Kluyveromyces lactis: one gene and its partners. The protein of the gene in region 3 purifies or fractionates together with the protein of the main gene of each other region. This does not show direct contact. Links are inferred from orthologs where the notes say so. Each region holds a gene or a part of one and is shown on either strand. Other genes may lie near its edges. The genes, in order: VID24, GID7 and FYV10.

Region 1 (2,384 bases), on a different chromosome or scaffold from region 3:
AGTGGGTAACCTTGAATTACTTTGGCATCAAAGAAGAATCGTTAGATATTCAGAATGTTTGGAGGCCAAGTTTAAGGTGAATAAAGACTGTGATGAGTAAGCAGCACGTGACATGGTTCTTTGCAATGGTTCACAAATCCCGATATGAACTGAAAGTAAAACATTTGTGCAAGAAACCAGCTCGTATGGCGCAGTGGTAGCGCAGCAGATTGCAAATCTGTTGGTCCTTAGTTCGATCCTGAGTGCGAGCTGTTATTTTTTTGCCCCTTCTTCATCCTCATCGAGGGCCTCTTTTTTTTTTTTCATGACGTTCGGTTTCTAGGAGAAACAAATCGAGCAGTAAATTGTAACGATGTATATCCCATTATTTATATGACATTAGAGACGTGATTAGGTAGAAATGAAAAGTGAAAGCGTAAATTGGTATTAGAATATTAACTGAATTAATGTAATGTGGTGTAGAAGTAAACTTGAACTGAAATTTGAAGTAAATGAGTGGAGCAAGGAACTTGGTAAATTAGAAGAGACAGAAAAAAAGAATGAAAATAAAACACCCCATGAAAGATGTGGTTTTATTTATTTTAATGTCATTTAATTATGCAAATTCGAATGAACAATCTCCGATTGATGGTTCTTGTAAAGGTTGCAATTCTAACTGTTGAAATCTTTCAGCATGTTCATGGTAGTAGAACCCCAGAATGTTACCAAGTAATTGATCGTGTACTATGTAGTAGTAGCCGTCGTAAGATGCACCATCTATTGATTCCAAATCGGCATCAGGCACCAGGAATTTCTCATTCCACCTCATGTAAAGGAACCTTTGATTCAAGTAATCGGTATGTGAGTAAGTACCATCGATGATAGATTGTAGAATATTCTTAGAAGGATACTTTGGATCGTTTTGCATGCAAAGTTCTTTGAAAGATGGGAAATTCAACCAATGCTCCAAATCAGTCTGGTCCGAGGCCTTATAGGACGCATAATCTATTGGGATATCTTTGGATAGAAACCCTAGAGAATCCGTTACGGTGATGGATTCGAAGAAAGTGGTGATCTCGGGATTTTGTACCGTGAGACCCTTTATAGAGAGGAATCCAGTCAAATGAGGCGAGCAACAGTTGGATTCGTTATCATTTGGTAAAGAAACAGATTGGATAGTGATCATGACTTGGAACTTCTTGTATCCCGAGAGTTGGTACCCAACAAACCGTTTTCTAGCCCCTAGCCAATGAGTTCTTTCGTGGTTCTTGGGAGTCTGAGGTCTCGATCTAGGAGGCGAGTTCAAAGATGGTGAGCATGAGTCCTGGATATCGTAATCCTCCGAATCTTGAAAGTTTTCATGCGAACGCCGTATCGAATTGATAGAATCGTGAGACCCAGTTCTGTGCAGCGAAGTGTTCCTGAAATATGGGTTTCTATGGAAAAAAGGAGTCAAAGGCGCAGGGAATGCTATAGGTGATTGCTGTTTTTGCTGTTGCTGTTGCTGTTGCTGTTGTTCCTGGGTCTGACCCTGACCCTTATATGGAGACGAGCTACTCGCCTTGGCGAGTTGCGTCTCCAACCCAGAGCTATGCGAACGTGTATCTTCGTTGATCATCTGTAAAATGTATGAATGTATCTTGCCTTACAACTTGTAAGTTGTAACTAGTTTTCTAAAGCAAGTAACTAACTCACTTGACAAAGGCAATCTGCGATGAAGCAGCGAACAGATTAATACGTCCAACAATAACCACTCGGTATATATACATATATATAGTAATAATAATAATAATAACTATCTCAATCAAGAAGGTAATATAAAAAGCATCACCAGGCCACCTTTAAAAAGCGAAGACCAGATCGACATCGATAAAGAAATAAGAAAAAGAGATAAAAGGAAAAGAAATAAAACACGGCAAAGAAACCGACAATGAAACACGCGGAAGAGGAAGATTTCCAGTTCCAACCATGACTCTATCCTATCAACTGGACTGGGAAAAACCAATGAACAAGGCAGAGACAGAAGTAAAATGGCTGCATAGGTGAAAGGAGTGACACATAATGGAAAAAAGTAAAAAGAGAGTAAATGTGTTCAGGAGTGAATTATGATCGAGGTGCGAGTCTGGTGTTGAAGGAAAAGAAACGGGGGGAAATATCGAAGAGACTGTGCACCGGTTTCTGGGCAAAATACCCGGAAAAACCTTTCGTTTTGGATTTTCTTTTTTTCCGGCACCAAGTTGGAACAGAGAGGTACCCAACGAAATGGCGGAGGAAGAATCAAAGAAGGACCAAAGTTCACAAAAAGAAATACGAGAGAATGTTGCTACAGGGGAAAGGAACATTCACAGACATAGCCCGATCCGGTTTGTTCCGAGGTGCGGGTAACAACTTAGCGCAGCTAACTC
Region 2 (3,769 bases), on a different chromosome or scaffold from region 3:
ATTACAGATAAAACTCATAATATTAGGTATGCATTTTACTTGTTATTCCTTTTTTTGGTGGTTTCACTACCAGTCTTCCACGGTTTGGACGTGGAAAGAGGAAAAAGAGAAGCTAGACAATTGTCTACTATGTAGCAGATACCCTCCATACTTTAACTAGACCATCATCACCGCCGGATGCAAACATTGTTTGATCTTGAGGATTCCATGCAACAATGTTACATATCTTTGATTGTGAACTTGTCGAATTTTCCGAATGGGCAGGTATTACACCAATGATATTACCATAGAACCTATCCCACAAATAAATCTTTCCATCCTCGGAACCACTTGCAATAAAATTTGAATAATAACCGAAACATGAACGTATTATGAAATTTGATTGGATTTGACCGATGTACCTTTGTATTAAAATATCTCTTTGATAGTCCCAAAGTTGTAGCTCTTGGTTTTGAATCGAGACTAGTAATAATGATGATAGTGATGGATCTGGAGAACATTGAGAAGTGTCTGGGAACTGCATTCCAGTCATTCTTTTACCGATCAATAATCGTCTCTTTCTGGGAGAAACGAACGTTGCATTCTCTTTAATGCAGTATTTCAACGTTGATATGTCAAACACATCAATGTACTTCTCATTATTCATCACAATCAAGTCATTATCATCAGATGAAATCTTGATATCATGAACATGAGGGAAGGACGACTTTAAATCTTCTCCCATAGTCATCGAAATTCTAGCGAAAATGGTAGCCGTTTTCATGTCATAAATTATTACATCAGAATCCGGAGAACCTAATACGATGAAGTCTTTCAATTCGGGATCATGGAACCAATCTCCACACCATAACCTCATAGTTTCAGCTGATGCTGGTGTATTATTAGATGAAATGGCAGATGAATCTGAAGTCGTGGGGAATGTAACAAATACGGATGCTACAGGTTTAAGCTGATCATATTCGCATAAATAGCCATCATATGTAGGGGGGGATAGCTGGTTTAGGTCATATATTTTTGCAGCGGAGTTGATTGAACATGCGATCAATTTCGTGTTGTCAGGGGAAAATTTAAGATATAAAACAGACTGACGAGTTTCACAACATATAGCATATATTTCGAAGTTATTTTTTACATCATAGATGATGATTTTCCTTTCGAATTTCTTTGAGGGGCTTGCACTGGCCAAAAATCTCCCATCTGACGAGAATTGTAAGAACCAGATTTCGTCATTGTTGCGATTCAATGTTTTGATGTTATCAAATTGAAACTGAGTTGATTTTGTAACATTATCCTGTAACAAATTATAGGTACTTGAAGCACTTCTTTTAGTACCAGTTGATGAATCCTCAATATGAAAGCTTAACAAATCTCTTGAACGTTGGTATTGAATTGCTTGTTTCAATAGTTGCATTAATCTACCACGAGGAACTAAATCATTAGGATTAATAAAGTGAGCGATGTGTTCAAATGTGGCCTCTCTGGTAACGAAAGGTGCAGCATTGGAGTTTTGACCACATACAATCAAGGTAGAAAGCTGCGATAATAAGTGTTCAGGTTGGAAAGAGGAAAAAGAGTTGGAATACATGACATCATTTCCTGTTTGCCACTGTATTTCTGAGTCATATTTCATTGTTTGCAGTGTTAGCAACGTATCCCAAATCGAGATCGTAGGTCTAATGACAAGCCTTAATAATTCCAAGGCCATTCGTCTATCTGACATCAAAATCTCAGAGAAAGCCAAAGTTTGAATTGCAACTAGCATTTCCACGCATATAGTTAACTTAACTATATCAACGTCCTTGAATTCGGACAGACGTTTCATCACGAAACCTAGTTTCTCATATTCAGCGAGAAAGTGGTCAATTATTGTGGTTGAAATGTTGCGTTTTGTTTGGGGTAATTCGACATGTGATAAGTCACCTGATAGTTCAAGGGACTCGAGAAATATGGGTAGCTGAAGCAATAGATCCAACGTACAGTGGTAAAACCTACCCTCTTTTATAGCAGAAAACAATGACTTCACATGAGTTGATTCGACCAATATCCCACCGCTCTCCTTTTGTAAGGTAATTGCAGTTTCTTCATATCCGATTTGTTTTAAAGCATCAATCAACAACTTTGTTAACTGCACTCGATCGAAAGGTTGATCTGATCCGTCAATGTCTAGATGTGACAAAGGCTTTTTGGTATATTTAGGAATGAACGAGTCATGGCTAGTAGGGACAGTGCTGACAGAAGCATTGCTCTGTGAAACGTCTGATCCTGCGGTTTGAACAGCCATAATTTTTAATTTCGACCAACCTATGAGTGATTTGTGATTAAAGAACCTGTTCTGTAAGCTTTGCTTGGTCAATGAGTTCTGTAAATGATTGTAGCAACTCTTTTATCTTCAACTATTCTTTCGTGAAGTAACCAGTGAGGGTTGGTTTAAATTTTATGAAATTGTCTTTTAAGGGATTTCTCGAAGAAGGGCAGTTGTAAATCAAAGGAAAAAAAAAGGTACGATACCAATAGATAAAGTAAGCTTACATAACAAAGTTATAAGAGAGTGAGTTGAATACATTAAACAGATTTCTGGCTACTGTAACTACATAAAAGTAAATGTGCGTTTGGTGCTCTGTAGCGAATGTATTGTTATTGTTTTTCATCCTTTAAAGTCATTCATAGACGTAACTGCATTATATGCGGAATTAAAACCAAATCAAAATGTTTAAAAAATGTCATTAAAATTAATAATTTGCATGCAAAGCACACAAAGCAGCGCCAACACCGGAACCATCCTTGGAGATACGTAGATGGACATCACGTTCACCCTCGGGGCCAATTGGAGAAAGTGCTAATGCATGTCTCATCATAGATCTGAATCCTGGATAGTGCTCAACGACACTACCGTCACAACCAACCTCTACTTGGCAGTGATAACTCTGGTTCAAAGCGTTGGTTTTGATCAAAATTGCAGCAATTGGCACTGCGGCTAAGAATGCAGCTCTCCTGGAAATAGCTCTTACCAATTTTTGGATCAAGACACGTTCTTCGAAGGTGGTCTCCAAGTCAGCAGCCTTTAAAAGAGCATCCCTTGTGTCCTGTAAGTCGTTCTCAACGGTATCAATTTCGATATGTGATAAAGTTTCTGTGGTTAAAATAAAGGGATTGTTCTTTAAAACAGATTCCTTCAAGTCGAATAACTCTTGTTTTTCAAGGTCTAGTAGTATGTTACGAAGTATTTCACCCAAATAAAGACCACTGACCCTTTTTTCAAACAAGTGGAACCCGGGATTGGTGGAGAACTGCTGATCAATCTTAATATCATAACTTGTAGTAGGCAAATGATTTAGTTCATTATCAAAAGAGCCCCATTCGGTATTGATGCACATATGGGTCTTCCCCTGAGACAGAAGTTCTTCTCTGCTAGCTGGATCCAATTTGTGAATATTTTCAAGCTTTTCCATGTAGCAGCCGTTCGTACCAGTACCAAAGATACAGCCAATTACTGGTTCGTTGATGGCTCTTGCCGCATCACTGGAAGCGTAACAACGAGCCAATAGGGTTCCAGTAGTGTCATTAGTCAATGCAACCACATGAACATTTGATAACCCAATATCGTTCAATTCTTGTTGGAACAGTTGAACAACGTCTTGCCCAACAGTATCACCGATCTTGAAACCCTTGGTCCATCTAATCAACTTACCACTGCTCAAGGAGGTTTGATCGACTGGATATGAAAAAGTGAAACCCATTTTCCATTTGTAATCTTGAATTACATCCTTAT
Region 3 (3,022 bases):
AAGAAACTGGATTTCATCTTATTCAATTTTCCACATACAGGTCGTGGAATAAAAGATCAAGGCAGAAATATTCACGAACATCAACAATTGGTGTACAAATACTTTGATAGTTGTAAGCAGCTGTTCAGACTCGTAAACAGTAGCCAGATTATGTTAAACTCAAGCATTTCTATGGGTGGATACTCACTAAATAATGAAACTCGAGTTGATGATGAAGGTTATGGAAAAGTGGTTCTTTCTCTATTTAGTGGCGAACCATACGATTCATGGCAAATAAAAATACTAGCGAAAGATAACGGTTGGAAAGTGGATAGATCAGGGAAATTCGACTGGTCCAAGTTTCCAGGGTATCATCACAAGCGTACCAATAGTGAAATGGATACTACCAAACCAGCTGAGGAAAGAGATGCCAGAATGTACGTTTTCGAAATGTTCAATAAACGTAAACATTCCAAAAAACCTTTGAAAGACGACAGCGATGATGAATAAGAAAATACATATTCTCTATTATATCTAAGTAGGATACATTTTGATAAAGTCTGTTGTAGCATATATTGATTTATCAATAGGGTCCATCACTTGGTTTTCTTTAAGTTTAGTGTACCCCATTTTGTTTAGTTTTCGAGATAATGATATTAGCTTTTCAGAGTCGTAAATATTGCCATTTGGCAACATTACTGGATTTTCAAATAAACTCGATTGGATATGATGGGCAAATGGTAAGTTTTCAGATAGAGGGAATATGTCATGATTGCATACGGGACAATCTGTATTGACAACGTTAGATTTAATGTATTCATTTACTTCCGGATTTTCATGAGGGATTAGTTGCGCGGAAATGGTGTGACCACAATCCTTTGTTTTTAACGAAGAGATTCCTAAGGATATATATATTAATAGTGGATCGTGGTAAGATATTTTGTAGAGTGAGTAAAATTCATGTAGGAACATTTTATTCAAACTTTCCCATCTCTCGTGGTCCAATAATGGACCATATCGACATAATTCAGCATTGTGAACAACGTTACTAGAAGAAATTGATGACAACGGATGTGGTCGATACATTTGTTTTCTAAAATAGGCATGAAACAACTTTTGTTCGTTTGTTACTTCGTCGTCACGACCATTGTTGAGGCAGCTTTTGAAGAAAGCAAGAATACCCGCTGCCAGTTTTAGTTCTTTGGGATATATATTTGCGAAATGGGCAAGGTGTGTTTGGAAGCACCTGATTGCTGCTTTATAATCGGAACATCGTACTAATTCAATGTACTCCTGCAATAACGCTTGGAACTGTAAATGCGAACCTTTTTCTGTCAAGTGCGCAGAGTTATTTTCAATCCACTCTAATAGAGGACGAAGGTTTTTATTTTCTATAAGTTCCATAGATATCTGATTAGCTTCTATGAGAACTTCGTAATCAATCAAATCCTCTAATCCCCTAGTCTTTATAAACTCTATGCCAGAGTTTGATGCAATCTTGTTTTTATGATCTATAGAATTCGAACCATGCCTTACCAAATAATCGGCAATTAACAAATCCGTGTATGACCTGTACCATTTTAGAAGCTTGTCAGTGTTAGAATCATATTTGAATCTTTCAAACTGCTTGAAGTATTCTACTCTCTTCTCAATCCTTTCTAAAATTGTTAACTCATTATCATGTAGTTGCGATAGTCTCTTCTGCAAAATGTTCACTGTGTTGATTATATCATTCAATTTTTCTATTGATTGCTCATCCTTATTTGGATCTTCAAGTAAAGTGTTCAAAGTAGCGAATTGTCCCTGTAGCTCTACTGAATAGCTTGTATATAGGTTGTTGAATTTATCCCAGTTTCGCTTTAACAATTCGGAAGGAATGTTAAACTGCTGCTGGTTTAATTTTAGGTGAAAATCGACATTAGGTTCGTTTAACGAAGTCATAATGACATCTAAAGGCTTTTTGGTAGATTTACCGTCACCAGTATTACACTGATTGATCCAGTTTGTCAGTTATTTGGTTCATCCCTAAAGATTAAGGTATATTGTGAAAACCCCTTTCAATTTTCTTATGCAATTTGATGCAGAAATACAAAGATATAGTTACCATGAATGAAATACATCAACCGGTACGCTGGAAAAAAAAAATTGCTAAAGTCGAGTTGATGCAGTACCAACTGGAGGGTAGGAATATCAGGCGAAACATTACAGACGTTTGTTTATACACTGTTAGTGAAAAGATAAATACCAATGGCTAAGTGTTGCGCCTAAAGTTTAAGACCCAGAAAGCATCAAACAGACGAGGACAGAATATATTACATTTTAATAATTTTATTTAGAAAGCTCCTTGCTCATAATCTAGCCAAGAAAGAATGATTGGAACCATTGAATGATTTAACTGCGAGATGCTGAACTGGTCATACAAAAAGTGTGATATACACACAACTTACCATAATAATAAGACCGTACCAGACTAATGCCAGACTTCCATATCTGTGAGCTTTATCCCATCCTCCGATTCTCTCACCGTTCATCAAAGATTCAGTACCAATTAACTTCCACCCAAATAATCCTGGCAACGTGAATGAAATGGCTGTAGAACCAGTTGCACCAACAAGTGCAAGAACTAAAGCGAATGACTCAACGTTTAGCGCTAGAACGTATAGTACAGCAAGTAAGAAGAAAGTGACAGTCAAAAATCTGGAATCAGGGAATGGGACTGCTTCAGTGCGTTCATCAACCTGATCATCATTATCATCGTCGGTTGCCCTCGGTAGTGATTGGTACGTGTGGACAAATGAAGTGTCATGGGAGGAGCCTAGCTCTTGTTCGAGGTATTCTCTATCAGTATCATCCTCAATTTCCAGGGTAATAGGCCCTATCGTTTCATCTATTTCAGACTTTGTTCCATAGTTCAATTGTAACCAATGGACCATATTGTTCGCCGATATACGGCAAGGATGGAACAACAAGGGAAATGACAAAACAACCATCAGGCCAAGATTGAACCTAGCAAATCTGACAGAGAGCTTATCAGCATCATAGT

What was found.
Region 1: the proteins of FYV10 (region 3) and VID24 purify together in Saccharomyces cerevisiae (affinity purification with mass spectrometry; 4 studies listed by BioGRID, with this or other methods). This does not show direct contact. The link is inferred for Kluyveromyces lactis from reciprocal best matches to the Saccharomyces cerevisiae genes FYV10 and VID24.
Region 2: the proteins of FYV10 (region 3) and GID7 purify together in Saccharomyces cerevisiae (affinity purification with mass spectrometry; 3 studies listed by BioGRID). This does not show direct contact. The link is inferred for Kluyveromyces lactis from reciprocal best matches to the Saccharomyces cerevisiae genes FYV10 and GID7.

What each region holds. Positions count from the first base shown.
Region 1 is NC_006038.1:833,627-836,010, reverse strand, and holds VID24 (glucose-induced degradation complex subunit VID24), read right to left. Parts: upstream 1,598-2,384; coding exon 596-1,597; downstream 1-595. UniProt on the Saccharomyces cerevisiae protein: Substrate-recognition component of the GID E3 ligase complex recruiting N termini and catalyzing ubiquitination of proteins targeted for degradation.
Region 2 is NC_006039.1:88,490-92,258, reverse strand, and holds GID7 (glucose-induced degradation complex subunit GID7), read right to left. Parts: upstream 2,282-3,769; coding exon 128-2,281; downstream 1-127. Other genes in the region: ATG22 (Atg22p), read left to right, coding at 1-135; KLLA0_C01155g (uncharacterized protein), read right to left, coding at 2,730-3,769.
Region 3 is NC_006041.1:764,485-767,506, forward strand, and holds FYV10 (glucose-induced degradation complex subunit FYV10), read right to left. Parts: upstream 1,921-3,022; coding exon 514-1,920; downstream 1-513. Other genes in the region: BMT5 (25S rRNA (uracil2634-N3)-methyltransferase), read left to right, coding at 1-489; AVT7 (Avt7p), read right to left, coding at 2,394-3,022. UniProt on the Saccharomyces cerevisiae protein: Component of the GID E3 ligase complex recruiting N termini and catalyzing ubiquitination of proteins targeted for degradation.